Linked DNA regions of Alligator mississippiensis. The protein of the gene in region 2 purifies or fractionates together with the protein of the main gene of each other region. This does not show direct contact. Links are inferred from orthologs where the notes say so. Each region holds a gene or a part of one and is shown on either strand. Other genes may lie near its edges.

Region 1 (7,007 bases), on a different chromosome or scaffold from region 2:
GGTATCAGCTGTGGCACTCTACCTCACTAGCCTTGCAAGACTAATGAATTTGGCCTGCTTAGATGCGAAACGGGGAGTTTTCCTCTCTCAAACAAAATGGACTTCAGAGCATCTGACAAAGCAGGCTTACAAAAGCTCATGCCTCTCTAAATGAGTTACTTCAAAATACCACGTTGCCCTAATTTCTGCCTAACTTCAGACTAACGCAGCTAACTACCTCTCTAGGACAGTGGTTTTCAACTTGTGGTCCATGGACCCCTGGGGGTCTGCAGACTGTGTAAGGGGTCCATGAAAGATGCTTATGATCAATCAAAAGGATGTGAATACCCACACTTACAATTCAAAGGGGTCCGCACCTCCGTTTGAAACTTCCAAAGGGGTCCACACCTCCATTTGAAATTGTAGGGGTCTGCAAATGGAAAAAAAAGTTCAAAACCACTGCTCTAGGAGAAGATAGCATGTGACCATATAATAGAATACTGCATCATGATACTTATGCACAAGGGGCTCAAACTAAAGGTGCACAGGTAACCTTAATTTTGGTATTTCCTATATTGCAAGTGCTTGATTTTGCATTTATAACATTTTGATATGATTTGTTTACAGTTGGCCTACATCATCAAGGTATCTTGTGGCTAACATTACATAGCTCTGATTTAGTGAATCATAAGCATCTGTTTTACTTTTAATTTTCAATACATAAAATAGTAAATCCTAGTCAGTGGCTAAGTTGTAAGGAGCAGACTTTCCCAACCTGTTCTAAAATAAACCCACACATCAAGTACTATAAAAAAGTGCTCCTTCCTGATTGCTGCTATCCCTTTCTGCCCTGTAGTTCTGCAGAGAGAATCAATCTTAATAAAAAGTATATAGATCAGGTTTCAACCCCTTTCTGCATGCAGATGTGGTGCACAAAACATATTTAAATATAGCACAACCTATTTTTTTGAAGTTCTGTAGCTTGCACTATTTAAAACCAACTGGCATGAACATGACATCTGCATCTGGAATGGATTTTAGCATGGGATGCCCATGCAGTCAACCTCACTCTCTCACCTTCCTTCACCTGAAACCCTTGGGCAAAACAGGGCCAAGACAGCTAGAGAATGGTCAGCTGCAGTTCTTTAGGAAACATATACCTCCCAATGAATCAAGACCTAAATTGTAATCAGGGCTTGTGGACAGAGGTGATATCTTTTATTAGACCAACTGTCTAATAAAAGATATCATTTCCTCTAGACCAATATAGCTACAACCTGGATACCTAACCAAACTGTGGCATCTCCTTCGCTGCTGTTCTTCAAAGAGGCTGAGCAGGCCTGTCTGGGATATTTTAGGAATAACGTGGCTCACATCTGAGCAAAAGGTTGGGCTGATCACCCGTGACATCCCTCCACATCTTATAGTTTTCTGATAACACCAGCTTTCTAGACAGCTTGGCTACTGGATTTACCCAGATGACTGCTGGAGGGCCAGGAGGTGGGGCAGAGAGACAGCCTTTTGGTTAGGAATCAACCACGTTCCTCAAGACTAATTCCCTGGCATCCCCCAAGGCTGCACAACTCACCCATGGTTCCTAACAGCCCTAGTTAAATTAGATGCTATTACTATATATATATATATATATATATATAGATACATATATATATACATACATACATGTATATATATACGTACATGTATATATAAAAACAGAACTTAAAGCTCTTTTAAAAAATGGAAATGTGTTATCAAAACTGGGAGGCTACCAAGCTACTACCTGCCATCACAAACTGCAGGAGCAACCGTCCTTCACATCTACCTGCATTCAGAGACATGAGCTTTCATAGGCTATAGCTTGCCTTGTCAGATGCTAGAAAGTCCATTCCATCTAGGAGAGGAAAACTCAGTTTCAAAACTAACCCCTATATAGAAAATGCAACCGGTGACACAGTGGGGTGGATATATAAGAAATGAGGGAAGGAATATAAGAGCTTCCCATGAGGGAAAGAATACTAGAACTTAAATATAATACAATTTTATTCCTATTTAATTTTATTCCTAACCCCTCAGGATTGCTGTGCTCAGGCAAAGTAAATAAATAAATAAATAAATAAAAAGATGCCCCTAACATTGTCTCACCTAGCACTGCCCATTCCCCTGCTCTCTCCCTCTCCTCGTTTTCTGTATCCTAATTTCTCTCTTCATGCTGTTTCCTGCAAGGCCTTTCACAGCATGGTGAAGCGAGCTGGGGTCCACAAAAGCATGTGCTCTCTCCCTCTATGTATAGATATATAGATCTCCATGCGATTACGTCTTCCGACTGACTTCAGGTCCCGAGTTTATTACAGAACAGTCTGTAAATACCGATCAAATTCCTCTTCATCATTTACAATGGCAAAACTTACATAGCTGAAGCCAAAAATGCAGTTTTCCCCAAACTTTTCACTGGACCCAGAGTGAGGTATCCCCTCGCTGCGAGCCGGCAAGGTTCTTGGGAAAGATGATCTTTTATTTGACCAACTAAATAGTTGTAAAAATTGCTCGTTGCAAGCTTTCGGGCGTAAACGCCCTTCTTCAGGCACGCAGAGTCACCTCACCGCCGTGCGTGCAGCAGTGTACTTCAAAAAAAGCTCCAGCTGGCAACATGTTTTGCACTTGAAACACTAAGTCTCCTCTGTCCTGTCGCTCCTGACCCTCGTGGCCTGTCTGGCACCTAAATAATATTTCTAAATGATGTATTGTGATTTGATTTCCCTTGACATAAAGAATAACACAGTTGAAATAAAAGAGGTCTGACTTCAGACGAGTGCGTGACACCCTGTTTACACCTCAGCCTAGCACGTGTCACCCCGTGTGTATCTCAGACTAGTGCATGTGACACCTGTGTGTACAGACTAGTGCGTGACACTTGTGTGTGCCTGACTAGTGTGTGACACCGTGTATACCTCAGATTAGCGCGCGACACCCGTGTGTACCTTATTCTAGCGCATATGACACCTGTGACTAGGACATGCAACACTCATGTCTACCTCAGACTAGCACATGTGACACCTGTGTGTGCCTCAGACTAGCATGACACCCGTGTATACCTCTAACTAGCACGTGACACCTCTGCATATACCTCAGACTAGTGACACTTGCGTGTACCTCAGACTAGCGCACGTGAGACCTGTGTGTACCTGACTAGTGACACCCATGCGTGCCTCAGACTAGCACGTGACACCTCTGTGTATACCTCAGACAAGTGTGTGACACCCATGTGTACCTCAGACTAGCGCACGAGACCTCTGTGTGTACCTGACTAGTGTGTGACACCCATGCATACCTCAGACTAGCACGTGACACCTCTGTGTATACCTCAGACAAGTGTGTGACACCCGTGTGTACCTCAGACTAGCGCACGAGACCTCTGTGTGTACCTGATTAGTGTGTGACACCCATGCATACCTCAGACTAGCACGTGACACCTCTGGGTATACCTCAGACAAGTGTGTGACACCCGTGTGTACCTCAGACTAGCGCACATGAGACCTCTGTGTGTACCTGACTAGTGTGTGACACCCATGCATACCTCAGACTAGCACGTGACACCTCTGGGTATACCTCAGACTAGTGTGTGACACCCGTGTGTACCTCAGAGTAACACGAGACACCTCTGTGTGTACCTGACTAGTGTCTGTGACACCCCAGCGTGTACCTCAGACGAGCACACGTGACCCCCCGACACCCCAGCTCGGAGCTGCTAGCAAACCCCCCTCCCCCACCGCCAGGCCGCACACCCGCCGCCATGGCAACCCGTCTCCCCGGGTCACCGCCCCCTCTTCAGGCCCCGCCCGCTCCTGATTGGCCGCTCCGCGCGCTCTCCCATTGGCTACCAGCGCGGTCACTCACCAGCGGGACGGGCGGTGGCGGAGGGCGGGGCTTCACCCAGCGCTCGCCGGGTTAGGTTGCACCTTCCCCTCACACGCCCCCCCTCCCCTCTTCCCCTCCCTCCCGCCGTTAACAGGGAGCGGCCCTCCCTCTCGGTCACGTGACGCGGGTCGAATGTTTACCTTCGAGGCGGGCGCCCCCCGCCCCTCCCCCCCCGCGCGCCCGTGACCGTTTCGCTTTCATTTCCGGGCAGCCGCGGGCCGGGGCCGGAGCCGGGAGCCGCCCCTCCCCCCCACACACACCCCGCGGAGGCGGCGCCGGGCCCGACGCGACATGGAGGAGCTGGTGGTGGAGGTGCGGGGCTCCAACGGGGCCTTCTACAAGGTACCGCTCCGCCTATTGTCGGCCGGGCCCGGGCGAGGCCTGCGGGGCCCGTGGGGTGGGCCGCGGCCTAGGCCTAGTCCCGCGTGAGGCCTGCTGGGCACGTGCGCCCTGTGGGGGGGGGGAGGGAGGGAGAAGGAAGAAGGGAAAAGGAAGGGGGAGGGGGCTTTTTTTTGTTGTTGTTAGAAAAATCCCCCCCTCCCCCCTCCAAAAAAAAAAGTTCCCTTGGGTGGATGCTAAGGGGGATTTGCCTCCCTATTTAAACCCCTGAGAAGCCCCCAAAATGTCCATCCTCCCCTGGGGAAAGGGGCGGGTGGGTTGGGGGAGTCGGGGTGGGGAGGGAAATCTCCCGGTTTTAGGGCTGCGAGTTAATGAGCACACGAGGGTTTTTTTTATTTGTTTTAGGGTTAATGACTGCACGAGGGTTTTTTTTATTTTGTTTATTTCTTTTTCTTTTTAGGGTTAATGAGCAGATGAGGTTTTGGGGGGTTTTTTTAAATTTTTTTTAGGGGTGCAGAAAGTGAAGTTTGCGAGGGGTTCGCGCCCCGACGCGCTCGTGAACGGTCGTTTCGAGCGCTGGTCAGATTCGGGCTTCGAAAGCAGACAGGGTTCGGGATCAGGTCTCATTAAATAGCGGGGGGATTTTTCTCAGGGAGTTTTCGGGGTCGAAAGTTGAGGGGTTTCCTAAAAAAGCACGAAGCGTGTTCTTGGCGTGAACAGCTAGCGCCGGGATAGAAAGTTTGGGACGTGCGGACTTCACGTGGGTTTGTCCGGTTCGTGTCCTCTGAGAATCGGCGAATTAAAAACGCGCGATTTCTACTTTTCCATTTTGCTGGTTGAAACCTACAAGTCTTCCTGTTAATTTCACTGGGCGGTTTAAATCATGAGCTGAGTTTGTTGTGTTGGTAAGTATGAAAGCTTAGTTAGCCCATCCAGGTTTATTCATCTTTTGGCTAGAATATTCTTCTTCTTTCCTTTTTACGTTTTGGAGTACGTTATAGTTTGGTTTGGTGAAGAAATAAAAATGTAAAGGTTAAATAAGGGGTGGGGGGTTGGAAATGGCAAATAGGTCTCAGCCGTCCTCCAAAGGTGGCTCAGCAGAAGCATCACATATGCTATAACAAAATCAATCAGTTCTCTAGATTTAAAAAAAAAATGTTTTAAAAGTTTTAAGCATCTATAACCAAAATTCATAGTTGATCCATTCAGGTGAATAGTTTTCTTTTCATTATAATACCTGAGCACTGCACAAATATGAATGCATGTGCCTGGTTCGGTGTAACATGAGCCAGTATTATTCTTATCTTGGTGATTAGGAAACTGAGGCACAGAATGAACTGTACTGGCCGGCATCGCGCAAAGTTTGCAGCAGGGACAAATTCTGGACCTGAGCTTCAGTTACATGACTGAAGGGTAAACTGAAACATTTCTGTAGGCAATATCTTAGATGGATGCTTTTAGAATCATAAGAGTGTAAAAATACTCTTTATCCAATTTTATTTAATGGTGTGTTTATCTCTAGCCTTTGTTGTAAGGGCTTCACTTTCTTTACTTGCATCAAGGTGTAACAGCGGTATATATCTGTAGAATTTCAGTAAGGATCTTGAGAGTCTATTAAGGCAGTTTTGCAGTATGAACTTTAAATGCATGTCCCCGCTGCCTCTGGACTGCTACACTGCAAAGGGGATGTAATATCTCAGGGATGTAGTATCTCTGGCATGTCTATTGGCACATGTCCAAAGCCACACCAAGTGCCACATTACATCTGTTTCAGGACATAACACGCACGCGGAGCCTGTGTCCTGTGTTTCGCTGCTGCGCATCTTGTTGGTGTAGTTTAGCTGTATGCCCTTACAGTTGGTACTGTAAAATGGCCTTCATCCCGCTTTTAAGAACTGTAGCAAAATTCTGTGAATGTGTGCTGCTACTGTATTTTGGTGTAGTGTATGGGCAGCACAAGATGAAGCTCCACAAAAGGGGATTCATCTTGACCTGGCCACCTAACTTCTGCATTAGGCATCTCAGTCCAAAATTTAAATCCTTCAAATTCTGCCACAAAACTCTTCCATAACCCTTAAGGAGTATAAAAAATCTAGGCAACTAAAGTTCTGGTTTTTCCTGTACCCAGCAGCACCTCAGTCTTGACAGTACTTGACAGTTCTGAGCTTGACTTGTGTCTAACCATCATTGGGGTTAGTGGACAGAGGTGCTTCTTGGCAGCCTGTGATTTAGTTAGGTTCTTGACCCCTCCCAAGAAGGTGGGATTTAAGACCTCCTATCCTCAGCACTTCCTGTCACCCTGTTTCAGGTACTTCCCTGCTAAGTGTTCTAATGTATCTCCCTTCCGAGGTACCTAACTTTCCTCGGGTTCCTGTTAAGACCCCAGATGCCAAATACTACAAGGCACTTAAGTGCCTAACAGACTCTGCAAATGCTCATTTACCATGCTTAAGTCCCTTCTGGATCTAGCACTTCCTGGCATGAGTTGGGGGTGATCACATTACTCATGAATGGCAAAGCCACAAAGCGATATTCAGGTCATCCCAAATAACTGGGAGGACTACTGTCACATAGTAATAGTACTTTTATGTATTGTCTGTTATAAAGACAAATGTTTTAGAAACATTCTAGGGAGCTTTCCAAAACTCCTGGTAGTTTTTCTTCTTCTACCAGAATCTAAAATTGTGTTGATACCATGACTGATTGCATTAGTGGAGGGAAAAGAAAAATAAATCTAGAAAGAATTTTGATTGTACAGTGACTTTTGAAATGTA
Region 2 (6,847 bases):
AGTATGTCCCAAACTGACTAGTTCCCATGATTTTCAAGGCTTCTAATAGTTTCAGGCTGTTATCAGACGCTTTTAGAATGAGGAAGCTAGTCAGTTTTGGGGATATGAAATACCGTGTTGCTCGCAGTGCTATAAAGGGTTGGCAACCTACAGTACATGTGCCACAAGTGGCGCTGGCAGCCTCTGTGTGTGGAGCTTGGCAGATTGGGAAGAGGGCAGGCAAACACAGCAACAAATATGGCACAGAGCAGAAAGCAGAGGAAAGGAGTAGACAGGGAGCACAGGGAGCCAGAAGGCAGAGCAGCAGATCACTCAGGGAAAGGTGACTGGAGTGGTACTCAGGGAAGATGCAGGGCTTACTTTGTGGCATGCCAGCCAAAAAGTTTGGTTCCTGATGCTGTAAAGAATGCTTATTATGAAGATACATGAAACTGATTAAGTCCCCTCATTTTCCAGGCTTCTAACAACAGACGTGGAATTGTCTGGCTCCTGTCAATTTTAAGGTATCTAATACCAGCCATTTGACAGCTGCTTTTCTTCAATATTTGCATGCAGATAATTGGAGTACAATTAATGTTACCAAGTAGGCAGTGGATCTGAAGGACACTATGCACTTAACTGATGTGGATACATTATGATTATCGTAATGTAAACAATAGGCAGCAAACTGACAAGCATTGTTATGCAGTTACGTGAATTATGCACATACTGGGTGTGCATGTAAGTAGAGTATACAATGGAATTGCTGGTGAGGGTGAGGTTGAATGATGAAGCATCTTAAAGGCAAAAACAATGGAGGTCGAATCTGAATATACTAGAAAGCAGGAGGCCAGAAAAAGGATGCAAATTAGGAGATATTCTTCTGAATGATCTTTAGAAAGCTGGCACAGGGGGCACATGGGAAAACATTTACTGAGGCCAAAGGTGGTTTTGTCCCCAGTGACTCAAAAATTATTTAGAAGTGAAGGTTCTTCTGGTATCGTTGGGGAGATCAAAAGTCAGCTCAAACCAGTGACTGAATATTCGTGGGGAGAGGTGAAAATACAGGATTAGAATTGTACAGGGGAACATCAGTCTTGAGGTTGGTCTACACTACATAATCTTGTTGGCCAAACAAGTGCCAGCAAGATGTGAGCACATCAACTTTAACTCCTCTGTGGCACCGGACCCCCTGCAGACAACTATGTCCCTTGGAACTGAGAAGGCTTCTGTTGACAGAAGGGATGTGTAAAACTGGCCAGGCCTTCTTTTGGATATCGCAGCTCTTTTGACTGCTGGACCTATCCAGCATACAGTTTGTGCCCTTTCTGCACAGCTGATGACATGGAGCCATATATATATATATATAAAAGCATGTACACACTCCCACACTCCTGCAGCTTCTGTTTTGGCTGCTGTCTGCCACCCGAAGTAGCCAAGTGTGGACAAAGCTTAGCAGAGAGATACAGAGGCTGCTTAGCATCTCACCCAATTCTTGAGACTCAGGACAGTGAAAAAAATTAGCAATTAGCAACAGGAGTACAGCTCTAACTGGATACTCTTCTTTTATGTGAACAGCAGCTGTCTTTGAAAATGTTGGTGGCTCAGCTATAGACTGTGTCAGTAGCGTGGGCACTCAGAATAGCTGCTAAATTTTCAGACCTCCAGCTACTTTCAAATCACTCTTAGCTTCAAAAATTCCTTTGAACTCTGCAGTGCTTTAAAAAAATGTACGGCTAAGTCAAAGAAAAGTGGTGGGTATATGCCCATACACATTACCCATTTGACTCTTTCTTCATTTATATCCTTTTCTTTCAGAAACAAGTCAAGGTGTTTCAAAACTCCTTTATACTGTACACCTTGAAAGGAACTTATGAAAGGTATCGTGAAGCAGCTTGTGCTTCTAATTTAATATACAGTTCCAAACTATTCAGAATATTCAGTTTAACATTCATTTCAAAGCAGAGTCCCAAGCAGAGACTTAGGAACCCATCCTCTAACTTTTCTGCAGGCAGTTTAAACCATATAGGCACTTCTGAAAATCCCACTCTTTACTTTCTGGAGCATATATTAAAAAAATTTGCAGCAGCATGATGTTGGCTGCCATGGTCCCCCTGCTTTACCTGTGGCAGGTTAGAGTGTTATGTCCTGTGGTTGTGTCAGGGTTGTCTGTGTAGTTCTGCTAATAGGTTAGACTAGTGATGTTTACCCCTTTTCCCCAGTGGACTGGATGGACAGTGCCATGGTCCCTCTGTGGGCTGGATTTAGCTTGTGGCCCTGATCCATCCCCGGCCACAGGGGGGGAGGGAAGGATGGGGAGCAGCTCGGCTGCAATCCGAGTGTGCAGGGAGAAGGGGGCATGGCCTGGCACCAATTCTGCCATGTAGGGAAAAGGGGGCATGGCTCAGCCCCCTCCCAATCTGGCTTCAGGAAGCAGGGGGCAGGGTCCAGCCCCATCTGGCTGTGAGGGGAGGGGGACAGAGGCATTTGGCAGCATGGGAAGAGTGGTGGTATTAATAGCCATTGCTCCCCTTCCATCAAATTTCCTGAGCCCTGGGGAGCCCTGCAGACTGGATGCAAAGGCTCTGCAGGCCACATTTAGCTCACAGGCCGGTGCATCTCTGGATTAGAGTAGTGGTTTTCAATCAGAGGGGTGCTGCTAGACCCGTTGAAGGGTGTCATGAAGTGTGAAGAGAGAAGCTGGTAAACCAGGCTCAGGCATGCCTCTTCATGGATGATCCTCCACCTGGGCTGCCAAGGAGGCAAACACTGCAATATATAGTTGTTTTTGAAATTGGGTGCCACTCTATTCACAGATGTTATGGAACGCGTCTCGAGTTCAATGAAGGGTGCCTTGAATCCTGTGAGGGGTGCTTTGGATTAAAAAAGGTTGAGAACCACTGGGTTAGACGATGGATTTGTACGGGATGGTTTGGACAGGGATGACCTTACCTCAGCCAGGGCGGAGGCTTGGACTAGACCTGTAGAAGTCCCTTTCCAGCCCTACTTCTCTGTGGCCCCCTCTACATGGGCAGGTAAAGTTGGGATGGGATCTAATGTGTGATGCACAGAATTGTACATTAGATCCAGTTACACCTTATTACTTGATCCTGGGCTCCCCCCCTGCATTGGTAAGAAGTGGGCTCCTGGCTACAGGGGCACGGGCAGGGCTCTTGATCGTGGCGCAGCTGGGACCAAGAGCCACTTAGTTGTGGGACTCAAGGTTTTGGCTGCGTATGTGAACCCCGAAGTTCCAAGACTCGGGGATCATGTCTGCTGCAATCCTCCAGGCCTGAGGCCCGCTGGGCTGGGCACCATGCGTCAAAGGCCCGCCACCAAGCGGGGTGCAAGGAGGTGCCAGGGCGAGCTCTGTGCTGTGCTCCAGGCACGGCATACCGCTGTAGCTGGGAGCTCTGCTGGGCACCGGGGCTGGGGGACCCTACTGGAGCCACAGGGGGGGCCTGCTGGAGGCGCAAACAAAGCCTGGACGGCAACCGGCTATAAAGTCAGGGCACGTCTAACTTTACAGGTCTAACTTTATGGCCGGCTGGAGCTCAGCATCAGCTGCGCTGCGAACCAGTTTTTTGCTGAGAGGCAGCGAGGGGCTCCCTGCTGCTGCTCCCCAGCAGAAAGGCGCGACTCTTCTCCCCCTCTTTTTGCCCCGGGGGGAGGGCCTCCCTCTGCTCCACTACCACAAGGGACGAGGAGCGGGGGCAAGGCCTGCACCTCGGGCGCTGAGGGGCACAAGAGCCAGCGGGAAGCGGCGCCGCGGGGAAGGCCCCGCTGTCTGCCCGCCCCTGTGATGGCGGCGCCAGCCTCCCGGGCCCGGGCCCGGGCCCGGGCCTCCTCAGCGGCGGAGGGGGCGGAGCGGGGCTGACAGCGCGGCCCGGCCCGGCCCGGTGGCGGCTTTGTTGGTTGGCGGGAGCGCGGGGACCCAGCCCAGCCCGGCCCTGCCCCCCCGCCCCTGGGCTGGGCCGGCCGCGGCGGCAGGAGGCGCCATGGCGGCCGGGCCGAGCTCGGCGCTCCGCGAGGCTGGCTGGTAAGCGGCGGCAGCGGGGCCAGGAGGCCGCGTCTTATGCCGGGGCGCGGGGGGGAGCTCGGGGCGGTCGGGGAGCGGCTTCCCCTCCCCCTTCCCGTCCCTGCCCGAGCCCCGGGTCCGGCCGAGGCCTGGTGCCCGCCGTGGGGGCTGGGCTGTGCCCCGGCCGTAGGGCTCCCGGGGGCACAAGCCAGCAGGGCGGACCCGCGGGGAGGGACGTGCTCCTTGCCCTCAGCCGGGCCCGGGGCAGCCGCGTCTGTGCCTGGCTGTGGGCCCCGCTGCGGCGGGGATGTGGGCGCGGCGGGCAGGGGAAATGGCGAGGGCGCTGGGGGCATTACTTGTGAGGGGCTGAGGGAACTGCGCTGATTGAGTCTGGAGAAGAGGAGACTGCGGGGATTGAAGAGCTGCCTTTAACTACCCCACACGGGGCTGCAAAGAGGACGGAGCTGGATTGTTCTCAGTGGGGGCAGATGACCGAAGGAGGAGCAAGGGTCTCAAGTAGCAGCACGCGTGGGCGACTGGTGCCACCTTAGTCAGGGGGGGCACGTGCCCCTGCACTGGCCAGTCTTCTATTGCGGGGGAGTCCCTTGCAGCCAGTCTCACCAACTGGGGGGGTCTCTGCTGCGGCTGATTGCAAAGCGGCCACTCCTTAGCCAGGGCTCCTACCTGCCCCTGGTGCCAGTCGCCTAGTGGTGAGCGCAGCCTGTCAAGGGGTGCATGTGCACCCGCTGCGTGTCATCACGGGCAGCATGAGAAGTTTAGGCTGGATGTTAAGGAAAACTTTCTCCCTAGGAGGGTGGCGAAGCATGGGAACGGGTTACCCAAGCTGCGGAAGCTCCATCCTTCAAAGTTTTTTATAAGACCCAGATTGACAAGGCTTTGGCTGGGGTGATGTAGTTGGGGCTGGTCCTGCTTTGAGCAGGGGGTTGGGCTAGATCAGTGGTTCTCAACCTTTTTTTTTTTTTGTACCAGGACGGATTTGTAAACATGGGTGGCCAGTCTCGACCCAGTGCCCTTCACTCCTGACCTGCTGCCCCCAGGCTGAAGCCCCCAGAGTGTGTGGGACAGGGGGTGGGTGTGTGGGGCATGGGGGGACCTGAGCAGTCCCATGCAGGCTGGAGCTCTGACAGCCTGCAAGGGAAAGGCCAGTTTCCCATGTTTTTCTCCTTTAAAGGATAATCCATTTTTAAAATTTGTTGACCCATTTTTAAAGTTTGTTCGTGACCCTTTAATATATTCTTTAGACCCATGGTATGAGAGATGCTGGACTAGATGACCTCCTGAGGACCCTTCCAGCCCTGTGATTCTATGCAGAAGGGCACGTCTTCAGAAAGGAGAGAGTGCAGCACAGGCCAGGCAGCCTTGAATTAGGCCGGTGCCTCTCACGCCTCTTTGGGCACTCCTCGATTCTGCTTGAGAATCCCTCTCTGAAAATGCCACCTCCTCCCTTCTGCTCGTGTCTTGCTTTGAGAGTGGTGGAGCTGTCCTGGAGCGCTTTCTTCTTGGCATATATCTTGGCCCACAGAAGGCCCGGGGTGGGGAAGCGGTTTGATACTACCAATTCCTGTTTGAAATATCTGCCTTCATTTTCTGTGTCCTGCTGTGCTGACATTGCTCAGCATCCTTGAAAGGAGTTGTGGGTACCCTAGGGGATGGCAGGGCCCCAGCTGAGAATTGCTGAATTAGGGTACAGAAACTAGGAACTCCTGACTCTCTTTTATCTTTAACTGTTTTTTTTAAAGAGCTGGGTAGCCTTGGCTAGGATGAAATAGCTGGGGATGGTCCCGCTTTGAGCAGGTCAGGGTCCTTCCCAACTCAAGTTTTCTATGATTCTGTGATTTGACAGTGTTACCTGTCTCCGAGTACAATATGTAAGAGACTTGGACTTTTTACTTCTACAGTGCAGAACACACTCTCTGGTTGGTAGGCTTGGTGAACATTGGCAACTATCATTTATCTAATGGTATAGGCTTACCTTGTTTTCTCAACTGTTTACAAACACTTTTCGGCAATACGCATTCCCTATCAAATCCACAAATTGTAAAAAACTGGTTATTTAGCCCCTGGTTCAGAGAATTGCTTAAATTTGCATGTATGGGTAAACTTAAAAAAAATAGTGTGATGTGGTACTTGGAATGTTTTCCTGGTACTGTTCTTTCTTGTTGTGACCTTTTTTGACTGGTGCACCCTTTGCAGCAGCAGCACTCTAGGCAGCTTTTAAACATGTCTTAAGAAATGGTACTCAAAATAACATGCTTCTGGTCTGTGTTGGCATTTAAACCATGCTCAGTTCCAATTCATTTGCACTTCTTGCTTTCACCTCTTGTCGAAAGTAGTCATTTTCCTAGTGTGAATAACGTAATCGGTAAGTCAGATTCGTTCTTCATTTGCTTCTGTGCAACTTGGTTCTCTGTTCCTTTAAATGCTTGAAAAAACTTTTGTGCATTTGCAATTCAGGTAAACCTGTCACTTTTGGAGGCCCTGCACTTGTCAGCTTCATTTCCGATATCCTTGTTTACTCTAAGGTGGAAACAGGAGTTAATGTTAGTTTAAAAAAAAAAGCAAAACCTTTTTGTTAAGGCCCGAGTAAGAAGATATAACTTAACACACACAGGGGCGTAATGTTACTTACAAAGTCACTTTAGAAAAGATGGCACTTTAAGTGGGCTTTATAATGTGATACAATTTTTGTTTTAACCTTTTGTGTAGTTTGATACTCTCACTTGAGTTTTCCTCCCAAACACTTAAAAGTGCAACAGCTTAAATACTGTTAGAAGCATAAGAGGATATTACAGGAATACTGTCTAATTCCAGATCAATAGATCCTTTCAC

The links. The genes of interacting proteins can lie anywhere in the genome.
Region 1: the proteins of TDRD3 (region 2) and FMR1 purify together in Homo sapiens (affinity purification with mass spectrometry; 4 studies listed by BioGRID and IntAct, with this or other methods). This does not show direct contact. The link is inferred for Alligator mississippiensis from reciprocal best matches to the Homo sapiens genes TDRD3 and FMR1.

What each region holds. Positions count from the first base shown.
Region 1 is NC_081831.1:75,853,905-75,860,911, reverse strand, and holds the start of FMR1 (fragile X messenger ribonucleoprotein 1), read left to right. Parts: upstream 1-3,990; 5' UTR 3,991-4,185; coding exon 4,186-4,236; intron 4,237-7,007.
Region 2 is NC_081824.1:401,752,645-401,759,491, reverse strand, and holds the start of TDRD3 (tudor domain-containing protein 3), read left to right. Parts: upstream 1-3,839; 5' UTR 3,840-3,977; coding exon 3,978-4,018; intron 4,019-6,847. UniProt on the Homo sapiens protein: Scaffolding protein that specifically recognizes and binds dimethylarginine-containing proteins. Plays a role in the regulation of translation of target mRNAs by binding Arg/Gly-rich motifs (GAR) in dimethylarginine-containing proteins.